Linked DNA regions of Drosophila melanogaster. The protein of the gene in region 1 interacts with the protein of each later gene in a pairwise test. Each region holds a gene or a part of one and is shown on either strand. Other genes may lie near its edges.

Region 1 (7,248 bases):
GCGTGGAGACTCTGTCCGCCCAGCTGATGCAGTTGCTCCGCAACAAGCACAAATTCTGGCCGGACGACGAGCTAAAGACACGTGCGCCCAACTGGGGCGAGGGATTGAGTTCCCTAAACGTCCATATCGAAGAGCATGCCTATGGCAGCCGTACACACTCCGTTGTCCTGGTGGACAGCGAGAATAAGATGCACTTCATTGAGGAGACAATGACTGGATTGGATCCGCACGGCGAATGGAACAAGACCCACATTGAAAAGGATTTTCAAAACGGCGTTTGACCACGGACAGGATGACGCAACTTCTTGACGCAACTATCTCGTTCGAAGACTTTCCTCTTTTGTAGAATAACCTAATTGGCTAATATTCTACCAATCTGTATTTTGACTCTGGCATTTGCGATAATAAATAGTCATATTTACTATATCTTTAAAGAACATAAAGCTTGTGTGGATTTAATCTAACGTTACTGCTCTTCTTTCTGCCACGCATCGAACTATGTTGCTTTCAAAATTCTTTATTCAAAGTCTTTGCAGATCAAAACAAAAAAAAAAAAAAATACATAACTATTCTGTTTCTGTTTTTCTTTATCTGTGGCATTTACAACGTCTCCACATGTTCATATATATATATTAAGTTATATTTATATATTTAAGCAAAGTAACAGGGGAAATAATCATCAACGTCTTAGCTTCCTTATCAACAGACCGCACTATCCCAGTGTTATTATACATCTCTATATCTCTATAGCTTTACGAGCCTGTTAGCCAGTTGGCTTGAATCGTCTGCCCTATTTGTATTTCTTGGACACCCGGCCACCGCCGGCTCCTCCATTTTCAGCGCCAGCTCCTCGCAATACGCTCTTGAATTTTCGCGAATTCATTGAACGTTTTCTGGGGGCGAAAGAGATGGAGTATTAGATAGGGACGGGTATATTAATAATATTAAACATTTTGGATACACACCTCTTGTTCAGGTTATTCCTAGTGAGTGGTATATACGCATATGGATCCAGTTTTCCGCTCTTCTTCATATCACCCTTGGCCTTCTTGCTGCCGTACTCACTGCCCGCTGGGCGGCTGGTGGATTTGCCTGACTTCACGGACATGGCATCCGAGTTTCCAGCTGTCAGCTGTCGATGAATGCCCTTGCCACCGGCAGTGTAGCGACTACTGGCAGTGGTTTTGCCCGATTTCATGCTCATCGCATCATCACCCTTGCGTACACGCTTGGGTACTAGCTTCTGCTGCAGTTTATCTTCGTCGCTCGAATCGTCTTCCATGCCACGCTTAACCTTGGGCTGCTTGGCTACAGTGCCATACGCCATGGATGCATCGGAATCCGAGTCGTCATCGGACTGATCGTTACCGCCCTGGCCACGAAGTGCCTTGTCGCTGATGATCAGGCGTCCATCGTCGGCAGTCTTGAAGCCACCGTTCGGCAGCTGAGCTTTCGTCTTTTGACTCTGGGCAGGGGTGGCCGTTTGAGCGGAGCCACTGGCTGGAGTGGGGCAAAGGCAAAGAAACAAAAAAAGTGATGATTTGTGCGATTTTCAAACGACTTCAACTTACTCAGCACATTGCCAATGGACTTGAGATCGGCCAAATCGACTATCTCATCGGGATCCTCGCGAATGTAAGTGCTCTTCTGTTGCTTAGCATTCTTGCTACGCTTGCTAGCTGCGGCTGCAGCTCCGGCCTCATCCTTAGCGTCCATATCTTCGGGCAGATCCGAATCGGAGTCAGCTAGCATATCATCAATGCTGTGGAAGGGATTTTTTTTAGTTATTTGGGTAATTACTGTGTATGAAAAACGCTTACGTGTAGCTCTTTTCCTGCAGACCGCTGACCAGCTCATCATCGGAGCTATCCTCCTGCGCTTCCAAGTTCTGTTTCTTGCGCAAATCCCTGCGCGTACGCTTGCGGATCATCTTCAGCCGGCGATGGATTACATCGTCATCGCCGGGAACGAAGCCGGCCAGCTCCCCGGGGCTAAAACGAATGCAGAGCTTCTTAAGCAAATAACCGATCTGGATGCGGCAGTATCGCTTCGTATCCTTGGTCATGGCCGACAAGGAACGCATCTAAAGGAGGGGAAAGAACTAATTATTCGGTTCAAGTGCCTAATTTAAATGTCGGCGGATGTGCTCACAATTGCCTCCAGGTGATTGGCCACCAGTGGTATGGGCATCACTTTGATGAATGTAATCAGAAAGGCAATGGCTGCCTCCGCTTGCTTGCGTGACTTCTGGACGAGGAAAACAGAGACCTGCTGCAGGACAAACTCCAGAGTGGCCACTGTCAAGTGCTCACCCTGCTGCTGGAGCACAGCCCTAAAGGCCAAAATTGTGTTCGTCACCAGCATTTCATCGCCGGCAAATCCTGCCGTCAGTATATCAACAAAGTCGTTAATCTTGCCGGCATCGTGATAAAGTTGAGTAATAGATTTGATTAGCTGCTCGGCCACCTGTTCCTTGTAATTGGAGAATTCCTTATAGTTGAGCACTGCCTCCGGAATGGCCTTCATCACAAGTTGATCGTTGTACGCCAGATTGCTGTGGCAGTCTATCAGGGACTTCAGGCAGCTGATGATTGAAAAATAATAGTTTAGCCTACACTTTAGCGATCATTTAGCACTTTAACTTACTGCAAACGCGATGCCTGACAAACGTTGCAGCTGGTGTTAAATGAATCGAGAAGGATTTGCTGCAGGACAATGCTGTTCTTGCGGGTAAACTTCTGGCATGATGGCAGCTCCGAGGTCATCAGTTCGCGAAGTAGTCTATAAATAAGAAGGGCTCATAAGTACACTGCAGTGTGACTATGACTAACAACAAGTGTACATACTCGTAGGTCTTCCTTTGCTGCTTTTTCAGTTTCTGCTCATCTTTGGCGACCAATTTCGATTTATCGTTCCTCAGAATGGGAGCCATGTACTTATCGAAATATGCTTTGATTCCCTTGCATGTTTGCACGCGCACTATGGCAGCATTAATGTCAAAGAAAGCGTCGTATTCGAAACTGGCCAAGGCACTGGCAGCCAATTGCTCTTGGGCGTTCTCAAAGAGCTCCAGTTGGACATCAGCCGGCGCCCGGGAAATATACAAACGAATGACTTCCAGAACACGCTTGCGCTGATCGGCCTCGTAGGTTCCATTCGGTTTCTGCGTATAGATATTGAAGAGGCGAGGCAAAAAGTTCTTGGCATACTGGCCAATTGCCTGATGGCATTCCGCACTTTGGTTGTCACCGAGCAGCTCCATCAGACCATCGTAAATGGGAGGCCTAAATTCCGGGTTCTTTTCCACAGCCGCACCCAAAGTGGGAGCTAGGTACCGCAAGTATTCAGGATCCCTTGGCTGACGACAGAAGCCAGGGAACAAGCCCCACAACTGGCAGCACAATAGCTCGTAAATGTGTGATGAAGAATTGTTCTTCGCCTCGGCGAACTCCTTCCACTTCAGTTGGCAGTCCATGGCCAGTGCTACAATCTTCTCCTTGAAGAACTGCAGGCTGGCACCGTTGGCTCCCTCACGGAGGAGGGGCAGCAGCCAGGATCGCTCAAGCTGCATGACGCCCTTGCCATCGGCAAGCGGTATAGCTGTTAGTACCAATTCGGGTCCCAAAGCCTTGATGGCACTGATCACAGTGTGCTCGATCTGCAGACGATGTGCACTCTGGGTGTCGTAGCGCTTGCAGATTGTCATCAGCGGGGGTGTGAGTTCCGAACTGAAAGCATTATAATATTATTAAGCATTTAAATATTATGGCACACATTGCAGACCAACCCGAATAGCTTTCCACAGGCCTCAAAGACGAACGAGAAGATGAGGATCACGAATCTGGAGATCTCTCCGAATGGAGCGTTTAGCATCTTGTGCAGTGAAGCAATTATCCTGGACACACTTTGCCTGTTGCACTGTGCATCCTCCGCTGTAGCACAAGCGCGCGAAACACAGTCTTGCAGCAGCTCCTTGATACAATTTGAGACACCGGCAACCAGCTCCTTTTGGTCCGAGAGCCAAAGATCCGTGGTGCAGACATCGATCAGACGCGGCAAGGCCTGCATACAAAGATCCAGCTGCATGGTCGCCAAATGGAGGTGGCCCTCCTTTAAGACCGTCACCCAGGCGATCGTCTGCCGGATGTCGCTTTTGTCTGGCCGGTACTCGTGTATCGCTGCCAGCAGTTTGGCGCAGAGTGAGGCATTTAAATTGGGGCTTTTTTTGAGGAAAAGGGAGTACAGTGTCTGGAAACAGTTCGTCCTAACCAGCACATTGGCCGCCGTCATAATGGAAAGCAGATGCTCGCAGACACTGCGTATGTCCTCCGTCTTGAAACCGTATAACGTGTCCTTGAGAAGCTCCAAAGTGTGCAGCACTGTCGTCTGTGCATTGGCCAGTACCTCCGGCTTGAACTGAGCCAAACAGAACTTGGCCACGCGACTGCTAGCCGGATGATGCTTAACCTTTGGCTGCTCAACCGCTTCATCCATTTCATTGTCATCTGATTTGATAGCCGGCAGCATGAAACAGCTGCCGTGAATAATTAAGGCAATTGCATGCTGGGCTGCCTTGCGGATCTTCGGCTGTGAGTGAATGCTGAACGCCAGAATGGCATCAAAGTATTGGAACGTCGAGCTGTATGACCATGCCGCGTAATCCTGGGCGCGCAGAATGACAGAAAGGCAGCCGATTACCTGTAAATGGAAAAACACGAACATCGACGTTAAATACGTATTTAACAGCTTTCTGGTAAACACATTTTGCACTTACATGTCGGATGACCGACTGGTTAGTGGACTCCATAAAGCGCTGGAGCAGTCTCTGCATGGTGTCAGCGGTCTGGGCGAATCGCTTTTTGAGAACCGGAGCCGGCACCGAATTAATGCCCATGGCAAGCAGTGTTACGCCGGCCACAATGTCCCGTTCCTCGGTAGCGGCCTCGATCTGCTCCATGAGCAGCAGGAAATACTCTGTAGACGACTCGCCACCGCCGTTCTCGCGGATTATTTCGGTGAGGGCGCTCAGAATGGCCAGCATCTCCTTGTGAAGAGCGGACGAGGACCGGAAGCTGGTGACCAGTTTCTGGAAGCATGTGTTGCTGCAACCGCTGTAGTTGGAGGCGAAGGTCTGGAAGGTTTTGATGGTGCCGGTGGGGGCGGTGCCGGTGGGAGCGGTGCCGGAACCGGACATTCCGTCATCATCGTCATCCAGTTTGAAACTTCTCAAACTGCCGGCCACATCGTTAACCGTTGTGGTTTCCGCATTAAAGGCCTGACTCTGCTCATGCTTGTGGACCGCCTCCATGGTGAGGCCGGTGGTCGTGGCTGCAGCTGTAAGGAATTTGGTTACAGGTGCTAACATAAGATGGCAAGTAAGGAAGAACTCACCCAAACTTAAATTGGGCTGAAAGAATCGCGATTTGGCCTTCATGCGGTGCTTCATCTGGGTGGGATTGGAGGTGGCCGATTCGCCTCTGCTCCATGTCTTTCCCTTGCCATTGCGCTTTAGCTTCGATCGGAATTTGCCCATGATCCCCCACGCGAGAAATGCTCGAAAGAAACAGAAATACTCAATGCACGCAAATCGCAACACGTGCGAACCAGTGTCCCCGCTCGACCGATAGAACTGACAATCGAAACTGCTATCGAATGGCTGATCAAAACTCGATGACGTACCGTTGTAAATTTCTAATCAAGTTCCCCACTTTGAATTGCAGTCCTGGCTAGTTCTGCTCTGCTACCTACCACAAACTAGTTGTGTGCTTTTGAATAAGCATAAATATCTGTTTCCCAAATATAAAAAATATATTTTTTGATTAAAAGATTTAAAAATACTAGTGGGGGTGTGTTGATTATTTCAAGGTGAATTTCCACCCAAGCTATACACCACACGATATCAAATTAGCTAACACACCAACCTGTTATCGATATTCCCCTTAGGAATGTCGATAACGTACGTGGCCGGTCTGGCAGCTCTGTGCAACAAGTTGAAAAATAGAAGAAGCAAATAGAAACAGCGTCCGCAAATAGTGCGCAAAATAGTGTTTTTTTGTTAACGTGCAACAGTGACATTGTTAAGCCATTGAATGCAAGTGACAGTGGGACCAGAAAAACAATGCAAAACACTTGGCCACGCAACAATAACAATTGAGCAAGGCGCACACACACACACATGTGCAGGCACCCACTCGTGTAAGAGAAAAAAAGAGATAGCGCGAGTGTGTGAGTGAGCGAGAGGCAAGAACTGTAACTGTAATATAATTGATAAAACAAAAAACGTCAGGAGCAGGAATCCAGTGAAAGAGCGGCTGTGGCTGAGGGAAAGAGAGAGAGAGAGAGAGAGAGCGAGTAAGAGGACAGCGAAAAAGAGCTGAAAAAGGAGGAGGAATTGTTGTTGCTAAAAATAGCAACAAATAGACAGGGCACGAAGAAGAAGAAGACGACGGCAAATAAGAGCAAGAAGAAGAAGCGTTGACGCAGGCAAAAGTCGCAGCCTTGTTGGCCACTTGGACTCTTACTTTGTCCCGTTAGCCAGCTAACGCTCTCCCGGCGAGCAACAACAACAACAACAAACATCGATAGCAGCAATAACAATAACGATATCAAGGAATACGAGATCAGCATCATCAACACAAAACAAAACAAAAACAACAACAACAAGTACGACGACGGACCAAAACTATGCTTTTGAAATTCACAAAAACCAGTGGCGCTGGACCCTCGGCCGTACCGCTACTGACCACCGCCCCCGCGACAGTCACCAGTTCGGCGTCCATGCAGGCAACAACAACAAGTTACGCGGCCCGTGGAACAGGTTTGTACCCCACTCTCTATCGCCCCTTACCCCCTCTCCCTCTCCCTGTGCCCTCTAACTCATTGCTTTCCACTTCTCTTTGCTCTCTTTTTGTTTTGATTTGTTAAGTTTAAGGTACGCCAAACAGTATAAATAATACACCTTGCCCACATTGACGTCCGAATTTCAGTAATTGAAATTATGGCTAATCGAGGCTTGGGTCTCAGATTATCACATTTTAATTTAAGTCACTCAAAGTTATATTGAAATAATTAAGATATATATTCAAACCATACTTAGAACTTATCCTAAATGATATTATACATTTCCTACGAATTTTTCGTTCAATTCAATAGTCAGCTTGTTAATATAATCAAACACTTGGTCAAAATGTTCTTATTGTTAACTGTTTCTATTGGGCATTGGAATTTTGCTACGCATTTCTTTCGGCT
Region 2 (4,628 bases), on another chromosome or scaffold:
GCTGTGAAATGAATTTCAACGAGCCCTTACTTCAGATCCCTGACTAGCCCAGAATATTCGTCAGTTCAGTTCCAGCTGTTCTACTGTACGGTTCTCTTGAAAGTCGTTACTTTTTTTTATCATAAAGCTGACACCACCAAGTTATCCGGTAAATATATTTCTTGTTTTTGAACAAGGCATCGTTCGATTTTAAACCTAATAGATCTGGCTTTTCTCCGAAAATTTTCGGCATCTGCGAAGATGTCGTTGCCACGCGTTTACTTCGATATAGCCGCAGGAGGTGAGAAGTTAGGTAGAATTGTGATGGAACTACGTTCGGATGTGGTGCCCAAGACGGCGGAGAATTTCCGGGCCCTCTGCACCGGAGAGAAGGGGTACGGCTACAAGGGATCACCATTCCACCGCGTCATCCCGAATTTCATGTGTCAGGGCGGTGATTTCACTAATCAAAACGGAACTGGAGGACGCTCCATTTATGGAAACAAGTTTCCCGATGAGAATTTCGAGCTAAAGCATACCGGAGCTGGTGTACTTTCGATGGCCAATGCTGGGGCCAATACCAATGGATCTCAGTTTTTCATTTGCACCGGGAAAACCACATGGCTGGATAATAAGCATGTCGTGTTCGGCAAGGTCGTTGAGGGAATGGATATCGTCCAGAAGGTAGAATCTTACGGTTCACAAGATGGGAAGACCAGCAAGAAAGTAATTATCGAAGACTGCGGAGCCCTCTGAAGGGTGTCAATACATAATAGTGCTGTCAATCACACATTTACACTATTACACTGAAATTATACTTTTCAAGAAAACTTTGCAAAATAAAAGGGGGTGCAAAAAAATGTATTTTGTCGGTTCAACTATTTACATCGCTCTCATATGTTACGCATTTCAGACCAATTCGTTGAATAATCCGGTGCACCCTGAACAGCCCAGTTCCCTGACTCATTTTCCTTTGATTTTTCTTTCCATTACTTTTAATTGACTCAATTTAGTTCAAGAGTTGCTCACATATGTCGCTTTTGATTCTTTCCACTCGATTCTCATTCTGTCTCCCATCACCTTTCCCTCAAGCCATTCTATCCACTTTACCCGAATGCACTTTGCAAATGTCTATTAAGTCACATACACTGATGAAAAAAAAGAATTAACCACCAGTAATACATATGTATATGTTTGGTAAAGTGCACTTTACTAAATACATTCAAAAACTCAAATTGAATCCATTATTTTTTAAATATATTCTGCAATATAAGTTTTGTTTAAACAAATATTATATTTGGAAGTTAGTATTTCTTTTCAAACCTAAAAACACCTGGCTAACTATGTTATACAATGTGTATATGTGTATGTGCATATAAGCCACTCAGCAAACAAAATTTTCTTTTCTCAAGTGCATGTAATACGAATTTCCAACACTGCTAAGTCACATTAGTGGAATTTTTCTATTGCGTTCGTTTTGCTTTGGGGCTCTGTTTTTTTGTATTTCTTTTCGTTATTTTTTCGGGCACCCAAAACAAGTCGCGGCTTCTGCCGACGTCGACCGAGGCAGCGGCAGAGGAGGGGCCGCGACTTGGCGCTGGCTTTTCAGCGCTTTCCTCTCTCAGATTGCATTTAACGCTTGCCGCGTTCACAACACTAGAAAAGCGGAGCAGCGCATCGAACGGTCGCCCTGTCTCTCACTCTCTCGCGCTCTCTCGCGCGGGTGTTTTGTTGTTGGGCAATGCAATTGCCAAGGAAAAGGAAAATGCAGCTGCTGCTGCTGCTCTCCTAAGCAAAATAGCCAAATTAAAAAAGGTTCGAAATTCGAGAAAATTAACCCAAAGTTACCTCAATTCGTGTGTTTTTTGTGTGTTACCTATTATCGATCGAATTCGCTTATCAGCTGTGTCAGGTGCCTTTGGCTCATTAACCGCTTATTTAAGGAAAAATGTGAAATCAAAACAAATTCGTTAATGACAGGGTCTGTTGTGAAAACCCGTAATCAAAGTAGCCTTGTTCGGCTCATGTTTCTAATTTTCATACCCTCTGGCAAATATATTGGTTGATTGATCTTAAATTGAAAAGTGCGGTTGAATCAGTTTGCCAAGTGTTTTATCGAAACATAAAAAATGGAAATCAAGTGTGGCATAAAATTGATAAATGATACAATAAATGGGACAAAATGAAAGAAAAAATAAAATAGCTTTAAACAATTCAAAGCAATTCTTCGTTATGGGGCGTTAAAAGTTGAAAAAACACTGACGGTAATTGATGAAGTAAAACGAAGAAAGATAAGGTGATCAAATTTGCAAAACCGGCACAATGTAAATTAATTGTGCTTTTTGTGTTGATTTTTTTTATTATTAATGGAGACAAGTTTAAGTATTTTCTTAAAAAGTTTAGTAAACTTAGGAAGATGAAAAAAAAAAAATAATATTGCCTCTTTAAAAATCAAGTCTTGTTTTCATTGCTTTCGGCAGTTTCTACATTCAAAGGGAATTAAATAAATCAAGGGCTTCCACCGAGAATAACGCATAGCAGTTCCAAGTTCATTCATTATACATAACTCGTACTTCTTAATTTCTTTTACTAGGCATTTTCCGTACCGTTAAGTTTGGTAGGAAAATATTCTTTCATTAGCGATGGTTCGTCAATTAGTAGGCATATAAATCTAACGGCACAGTGCCCTAACAGCACAGAAGACAACTAACCGGAACTGAAAACTAGCACTAAAAACCAATAAGTAAAAGGCCTAAGGTAGCCGCAATAACAAAAGAACGGAAAAGACCCTCTGATGACATCAACAAAAAGGGGGTGTACGAAAGAGATGGGACGAAATGGATGGAGATTACCATCCAATCCCGCATGCGTCCCGTTACTCTTGCTTTTCGGTTCGTGTCCACGCTTATTCACTTGCGCTTTTATTTAGTAATGAGTAAAACATATACATACATACGTATGTATGCATATATGAACATATGATGGGAGGCATTTTGGGAGCGGTTGGCTTGGGGTGACCGTATATAAATTCCACATAATTATGCGCTGTCCCTGACTCAAAAACCATATGTTCAAAATAAAGGAGGCGGGCGGATTCGGCGAGAGAATCACCCTCGGACATATGGCGAAAAACTTTTCCTTTGGGGGATCGGATCGCTCTCTTTCTTCGGTCCCTTGTCATTGCTCTTGTTTGTTGATTATTATTTTTTCCTATTTATAAAGATTGCGCCTCCCCAAATTCGCTCTCCCAGTCTCTCATTTTTCTCTCTATCGCTGGCGACTGCCTCGGTTTATTTTGCCCCTGAATTTCTGGTTCATTCAGTTTGCTTTTCGCGTTTCGCGTGCTTTAATCGAAATTTGTTTTTCTCCCTCGATTGTGGTTGTAATAAAATACATAATACACCATTTTAAATAATCGAAAAAATTAGCTATTCACTTTTAAAATTGAAAAATATTTGTGAGATCGCGGCACAGATTATTGAAGATCATAAAATCGGCAGGAAAATTAAAAATATTTTAAAGGATTGCATCATTAGTTTTTGGTTCTTTTAAGCAAAAGCTTTCAAGAAAGTTATAGAATACATAATAGTACATTAAAAATAATCAATGACAATTTTTTTTCAAGTTCTTATGTATATGATTCCCATATAATTGATGCAAAGTCTTTAAATATACATTTGTTTGAAATCATGAATATTTTATGTGGTACTCAGCATTCCTGATCCAATTTCGGCTAATCATTGTATATTTTACAACCTTTTTGTTGTAACTTGTTCACTTCACTTTGTTGCATGAAAAGTGCACAGCAGCGAAGTAAAATTTGCATTTAATGAGCTCCCCTCGTTCGACTCATCCCCATTTTCACCCCTTCCTTCGTCGACCATTGTATGCAAATCTTTGTGGAATTCAATTTTGCTGAAGAGTAGCTAATGATAATTTTCTATTATGCTGTTTTTGATTGCCTGACATGGGCGAGGAAAAAATGGTTGAAGAGATATGATAATCCAAAAATATTCAGCTGACAAGAAAGGAAAGTTTACTTCATTAGCAAATTAGTTTTAGTTGAATTGAAATCAGATTATTCGGTTACTTACTGTACTTGTATTGAAGGAATTGGATTGTATTTTGATAAGGGTTTCCAAATCATTTGTAATAAAGTTGTATTTTATTTATTTGAATGCTTATTTCGTAAATCAACTTGGAATCATTCAAAGCAAATAAAGTTCTTTAAAAAGTAAAATCTTTATCAGTCATGCCCTGCTTTTAATTGGCCCTCATATTGACCTTTATTTAAATTTGTATGTGATAACGTGAAAATGAAGCTTTGACAAGGGCACCTTAACTATACACGTCGCCGAACGATTTGATAAGACTAAGAATGATTCAGTTTACTAGACTACAAAAGTAAACAGCACGCCACAAATTCCAAGTAAAAGAAAAGCAAACTTAGCCAGCCATTGCATTTTCTGGTAATTAGAAACTAGGCGGGAATTCAAAACCTGAGGAACAAAATAACAATGAAAATAGGGAGAGGTTGGAAAATAGCTGTACGACGAGGATATGTAAAATTGTCTAGAATTCTGCTCAAAGTCTGAACAAAATAATTTTACGGTCTGTTGGTTCTAAAAAAAAAAGAAGAAGTAAAGAGA
Region 3 (5,963 bases), on another chromosome or scaffold:
GATTTCTTATTTTTTATATGCATGGCAGAAAAGTTCACATATGATTCACATAATTTATTGTAGTGTACTTCGGTTTCGAAACACCAAGGTCAAGTTGGCACTTCCACAAATGATAAAAGAACCGAAGTGCAGGAGAATCCAAGATAGTCTTGATTTCCTGTTTTCTTTCAAGTGAAGCTGCTGCAGGTGCGAAAAAGTGGGGAAGATGTGATGGGGCTGCTGGGCAAACAAGTTATCGCCGCGTTTGTGCACCGTTTTACGAGGGAAAGCTTTTGTCTTTGGACACGATTAGTGGAGAAGCGGCAATTTGGGTGAAATCTTATCAATCAGCGGCGGGCATTGAAGCGTTCGCGGACGGAGACGAGAGCATCGGCAATTTAATTGCGGAAATAAAGGGGCAGGCAGGCACATTCCACACTGCTGACGGGACAAAGTTTGTTCGATGGATGATTAAGCCGCGTTTTCAGGTGGAGCAGGTGGGGCGGTGTTGGGCTGTATCTGGTTTTGGATAGTAACCAGTCACGCTACATGGAGCAATTCGAATCTCACGCCAAATGCGGCTCAGGATGGGCACACAGTGGGGGCGGGGCTGCAGCTTATATGCACCTGAATCTGGGAGAATCCTTCAGGCACTCCTCGAACTCGATGGTGGCGCGCATTTTGGCCACCACGCAAGCAGCACCTAGACTGCACTGCTGGCTATTTCGCTACGCTAATTGAGGCCCGTGAATCTTTGTTGGCCTGTTGCTGCTGCTCTGCTTTGCTTTGCTTTCCTTGCTGAAGTGGGGATTTCGATGCGCGATTTTCGAGGGCGGCTCTGGGAGAAGCTAATTGCGGGCAGCAGGAGATATGGTGATTAGTCGCATCCTTGGCAATCGACGGCTACACACGTTGAGCACTGGCCCTAATTAGCGAAACTCGCCAATTTACGCGATTCGGGGCCGAATTTACCAAATTTACACAGCGCGCAGAGACAACAAATTAAAACGTCTCACTTTCTACTAGAGCAGATCGGTGTGCCCGCACTCGCAGCGAAAACAAATCTAGCAGCGCGAATGGTCACACACTTTGGCGGGCTTATTTGCTTTTGCTCATATCTTTTAAAATTTTAAATGTATTGAATGCTTAGTGTTTTCCTTGTGCTGATTTTCGTTTTAAAACTCGATTAGTTACGAAGATTTCAATTCAAAGGCATAAAACAACGCACATTGACATTGTCAGCACGGTTTATCAGTGTTGGAAACTTTTGTAGCTAAGAAGAAGCTAATTAGGAACTTAAATTCCCTAAAAGAAGATACAGCCCAAAAAAGATTTGGGTTCTAGCCATAATCAATGTAGATGTATTTAAAGTACAAACGATGACAATTTTAAACACCAAAACAAGCAAATCCGTTTCAAGCTACCGCCAGCCAAGTCAAATCTAGCTACAAAACAGATCAGCTGACAGCACCGCTGGATTTTAGGGTGCCCGCCTTGTGCGACAAGAATCCGCGGCCAGTGCTGCACAAGTGCCATTTTTCATTTCATTGTTCTGTTCTCTTTCTGCTGGTGCTGTTTTGGTTTAAGTGCAATTATCCACACAAGTACGCACCGAAAACCGATGCACCTGCACCGTGCACCAAGTGTGGGAGTGCCCAGTGCCAGTTTCATTTATAAAACTATGAGTTTCGCACGGCAACCAGCGCAGCTGACCGACTGACCGATCAGAGTCTCACGTCCCCCCTCGCCTCATGTGTTTACCCCTTGTCCAGCGTTCTATTTGCGTTTCGTGTCCGCTTTAAATCGCCTCATTTGCATACAACTCGACGGCTTTACGTCACAACTCTTTAAAATCGGCGAAGTAGAGGAGGAGGAGTGAAACACGCCCATTCCCGGAGGAAGCATTAGACCGACCTGTTTGGAATCCAGAATGTGGAAGTGCCACAAGTGCGGCAAACCCGTTTACTTCGGTAATGCACCCACACACGAGCGCATTGCGATCCGTAAATAACTTGTAAATTATATTTATTTATGCCCCGCACAGCGGAACGTAAACAATCGATCGGCTACGATTGGCATCCGGAATGTTTGCGCTGCGAGGAATGCGGCAAACGCTTAAATCCCGGCCAGCATGCTGAGGTAGGAGGATCACCTGTTAGTTAGCCGATCATGTGATCTATATAAAGCCTTTTGTTTTCCTTTCAGCACAAAAGTGTGCCCTACTGCCATGTGCCCTGCTATGGCGCCCTGTTTGGACCCCAGTTGTTTGGCCACGGCACCCGGGTGGAATCGCACAAAAGCTATGGGGTGAAGGGAGCCCAGAAGCCAACCGGAGCTCAGGCCAATGGCCCGCCACTCCCACGTGATCACCTGGAGTCCAAACTTAAGGTGCAGAACGCAATACCCAGACATATCAATATCTCATGACTCACCAAATTCCCTTTTAATGGGCAGGTCTACAACCAATTCTACGACAACAAAAGCCTGGAGATACGTAGTCGTGAGGTCAACAACCGGTTGGTGCTGGAAGGCGCGCTTAGAGTTTACTGGGGCGTGCAGGGAGTGATTCATCTCAAGGAGGACGATGATCAGCGCATCTTAGTGCGCAAAAGGAACTCTTGCCGTGTGTCCAAGGCTGCCAATGTAAGCTGAATCTATAACATAACAAAACGTTATTTATACAATTGTACCCACAGGAAAGCAGTTCGGATAAGGAAAACGAAGCTAGCGAATCGCTGGCTCCGCCCACCACCACCACAGCCGAGGTCGATCAACTATCCACGGATGTTTCCCTTTCCGAGAGCATGACCTTCGACTCCTGTAGCCTGAACGAGATCTCCGAGTTGCCCACAACCCCAGAAGATGCCTCGGCCAACACCACAGCCAACAGCAAAGAGCAGACCAATGGTAATGTGTGCAACGACGACGAGGATACGACCACGACGGACTCATCTGGAACCCTGGTGGAGGCTCCTACTGCCAGCACAAGTTGTGTGTCCAGCACATTGCCTTCGAAGTTGGACCGTCTGGAAAAACTGGATTGGGACGACATAGACGATCTGCTGCAGGTAGAGAGACGTCACAACGACAAGGATCGCATTTATGAAACTATGCCTGTCAAACTGCCGTCGTCGCAATCCTCCAGCGACAGTTCGCCCAGCAAAACATCCACAGAGACCACTACGACCACTGAATCAAGCTCGACTCAATCGGCATCAACAAACACCAGCAGCACGGATGATTTTATGACCGCCACGGGATCGTTGACTGCCAACACCAATACGCAGAATACAACAACGGTGTCTACTACTGAGACCTCTCTGGATAACTTCGAGACTTGCGATGACGCTACCCTGAAGCCTATTGATTTCGAGGACTTTAAGCGTAGTGTCCACCAGGACTATGTAAATGGGGCCAACTCCTTTACGGAGCCCAATGAGGGCACCCTTAAGCGTAATCAACCAATTGATCCCTCTCGCATTCACGACTCCCTTAAGCTCTACGGCGAGAATTCAGCGATGAGCAAAAGCTTTAATTGTGAGCATGCATTGCGGTCAATAGATCCCACTTTAATCAACGACACCATGAATCTGCGCAGTAGTGTGGGCTCTCCTCACTCCGCACAGCGTCAGTACGCCTTACAAAAGAGTGGATCGGCCACAGTAACCAGCAGGGATCAAAAGAAGCCATATCAACAGGGGCGGCAGTTGTTCGAAAAGGGCATCAACCGCTCCAAATCGGGACCCAGCTGTTTTGTGTACTCCGACAGCGATGACGACGACGAGGCCACGCTGCGTCCCCAACGTATGGCCACCATTCGACGCAGCGACATACCTCAGCGGTACATACAAATCCAGATGGACTGTTATCCCAAAGAGAATGTGGCTGCTGCTAGCGAAGGTGAGTCAAGTCGGGCAGATGCTCCATCCATAACCAGTGGTGCAGCGGCCGGCGATGAGCTTACGCAAACCGAGGATTTGTACACTGCAAGCGAGGGCGTTGATGGTCCAGACGGAGATGGATCGGCTGGGTTGCATGTGACGGAAGATGGAGTTGTGCTGAGAAGACCTCCACGCACAGGAGCTTCTGCCATCAAGCGACGAAGTGGCAATCGTCGGTAAGTTACTGAAACTTTTAATGAAGAAATTGTGTTGTAATTCCAACTTCTTAATCAATAGTTCTCGTACCAAGCTGAAACGTCGGTGCTCTATCAATGGTCACTACTACAATCGGGAGACGTCGTTTTTCACGCCGCCCTACGGTTCTCAAATGTCAGTGTGGGTCTCCTCGATGGTGACCACCACTGAGGTTATCAACTTGGTGCTGGAGAAATACAAGGTGGACAGTTCGCCTGGCAATTTTTCACTCTTCATTGTTCGCGACAATGGTGAACAGAAACGTCTCAAGGACGACGAATATCCTTTGATAACGCGCGTCACTTTGGGACCTCATGAGGATGTGGCTCGTATATTTTTAGTGGATTCTCGCAAAACTGATGAAATCAGGCAAGTTATAACACTCCTTTTCAATAGAAGTTTGCTTACGTTTCTTTTGCATCGCTGCAGTAATGAAGTTGCTCAATTTTTGAATTTATCTTTGCCCGAGTGCCGTGCTATTCTGGAGCGCTACGACCAGGAACTGGCCCGCGAAGTGGCCAAAATAAAGGAAAGGTGGGTTTTAAAAAATAATTTTACATCCCAAGACTTTGCATTGAAAGAGAATTACTTTTCCGCAGATACGCCGAATTGCGACGTCGTATTGTCAGTCGCATGGAATCTCTGAAAGTGCATTTGTAAAACGTAAATGAAACCTCTGGCATAAGAGCAATTTTTTATTAGCCATAACATGAATGCGGCCAAAAAAGAAGTGTCGGCAGCAGCACAGCTAATAGTATTCACGTTTTTATACGAGATATATATTTTTATGTAGAATCTAGAGAAAATTACGAACTAGCAAACATTAGGCGCCCAGTGAACAAAAAGCAGCTGCTGCTCGTCGCAAAATACATATACATACATTACGTTTAGGGTTCGATTCTTCCCAGCCGAAACTAACAATCAATTCCAGGCATTTCCATTCGTTTAGAAAGCGTTTAAGACTTGTAACTAACCAAAAAATAATTATTAATCCACAACATTACCATACAGTTTTTTGTTTTATGTTAATAATCAATGTATGTGCTTTATGCAGTCACGTTAAAAGCGTTGTCATTCATGTATCTATTGTACAATGTTTAGCTTTTAAGCCGTGACATGAAGCACAGGTCCTGCTAGTAGCGTGTAGTTGAAAGCCATTTTATCGAGTCATTGAACAAATGTGTGAAAATCAATTTGATTAGAAATCGCAATGCCTGCGAAACAATAAGAATAACTGTGCACATACTTCATATTGCATAACATGGACTTGTTGATTGAAAATCATTTGGAAATCCAATAAAATGAAAATTTTACAACAGAATCGCCGCCTCTTTCGGTGACCAGCCAAGCGGAGTTTAAGGCCCCATGGTCGCCAACAAATTCCGGCAAGTAACGCGTCCCTAGTGCAAAGGGGCGAACCTAAAGGCGGCAGCAGTAGCAGAAAGTGTGAGCCGAATATTCAAAAAAGGCAGCAACCGGCGCCAGCCGTCCGTGCCCAAATGGGGATCAAGTGGAGGTGGACCTCTAGCCCCCCCCCCACACACACACACACACATACACACACTAGGGTGGGGGCAAACCGATGCCCTGTCCTGGCCAAAGCAGCCATCAAAGCACAAGTCAATGATGCCATTATAATAGAGAAACGACGGAGGAGCAGCGCGGAAATAGCGACGAGGACGAAAGTAGGCAAGCACTGGCTCACTCACATAATAAATGCACACCCCACAGCGGCACAGAGTGAGTGTGTGTGCGTGGCTATTAATTTGAAACTGACAGAGCCTACGGGTCTCCATTCCGGCTACAACGTGGTTGGGACTCCGCAACAACTACAGGACCGTGCCAGCG

The links. The genes of interacting proteins can lie anywhere in the genome.
Region 2: the proteins of CG2691 (region 1) and nuf interact in a two-hybrid assay, tested with the Drosophila melanogaster proteins (one large-scale study listed by BioGRID).
Region 3: the proteins of CG2691 (region 1) and Rassf interact in a two-hybrid assay, tested with the Drosophila melanogaster proteins (one large-scale study listed by BioGRID).

Annotation. Positions count from the first base shown.
Region 1 is NC_004354.4:13,618,773-13,626,020, forward strand, and holds CG2691 (uncharacterized protein), read right to left. Parts: upstream 5,637-7,248; 5' UTR 5,534-5,636; coding exon 5,392-5,533; intron 5,335-5,391; coding exon 4,775-5,334; intron 4,699-4,774; coding exon 3,788-4,698; intron 3,729-3,787; coding exon 2,847-3,728; intron 2,782-2,846; coding exon 2,647-2,781; intron 2,585-2,646; coding exon 2,152-2,584; intron 2,084-2,151; coding exon 1,821-2,083; intron 1,763-1,820; coding exon 1,572-1,762; intron 1,501-1,571; coding exon 966-1,500; intron 894-965; coding exon 791-893; 3' UTR 504-790; downstream 1-503. Other genes in the region: Tango2 (transport and golgi organization 2), read left to right, coding at 1-281.
Region 2 is NT_037436.4:14,218,143-14,222,770, forward strand, and holds the start of nuf (nuclear fallout), read left to right. Parts: upstream 1-1,599; 5' UTR 1,600-1,794; intron 1,795-3,297; exon of another isoform or gene 3,298-3,358; intron 3,359-4,628. Other genes in the region: CG7768 (uncharacterized protein), read left to right, coding at 241-735.
Region 3 is NT_033777.3:23,113,485-23,119,447, reverse strand, and holds Rassf (Ras association family member), read left to right. Parts: upstream 1-1,516; 5' UTR 1,517-1,909; coding exon 1,910-1,949; intron 1,950-2,023; coding exon 2,024-2,118; intron 2,119-2,184; coding exon 2,185-2,367; intron 2,368-2,433; coding exon 2,434-2,622; intron 2,623-2,675; coding exon 2,676-4,096; intron 4,097-4,157; coding exon 4,158-4,484; intron 4,485-4,544; coding exon 4,545-4,649; intron 4,650-4,714; coding exon 4,715-4,775; 3' UTR 4,776-5,434; downstream 5,435-5,963. Other genes in the region: CenB1A (centaurin beta 1A), read right to left, coding at 607-659.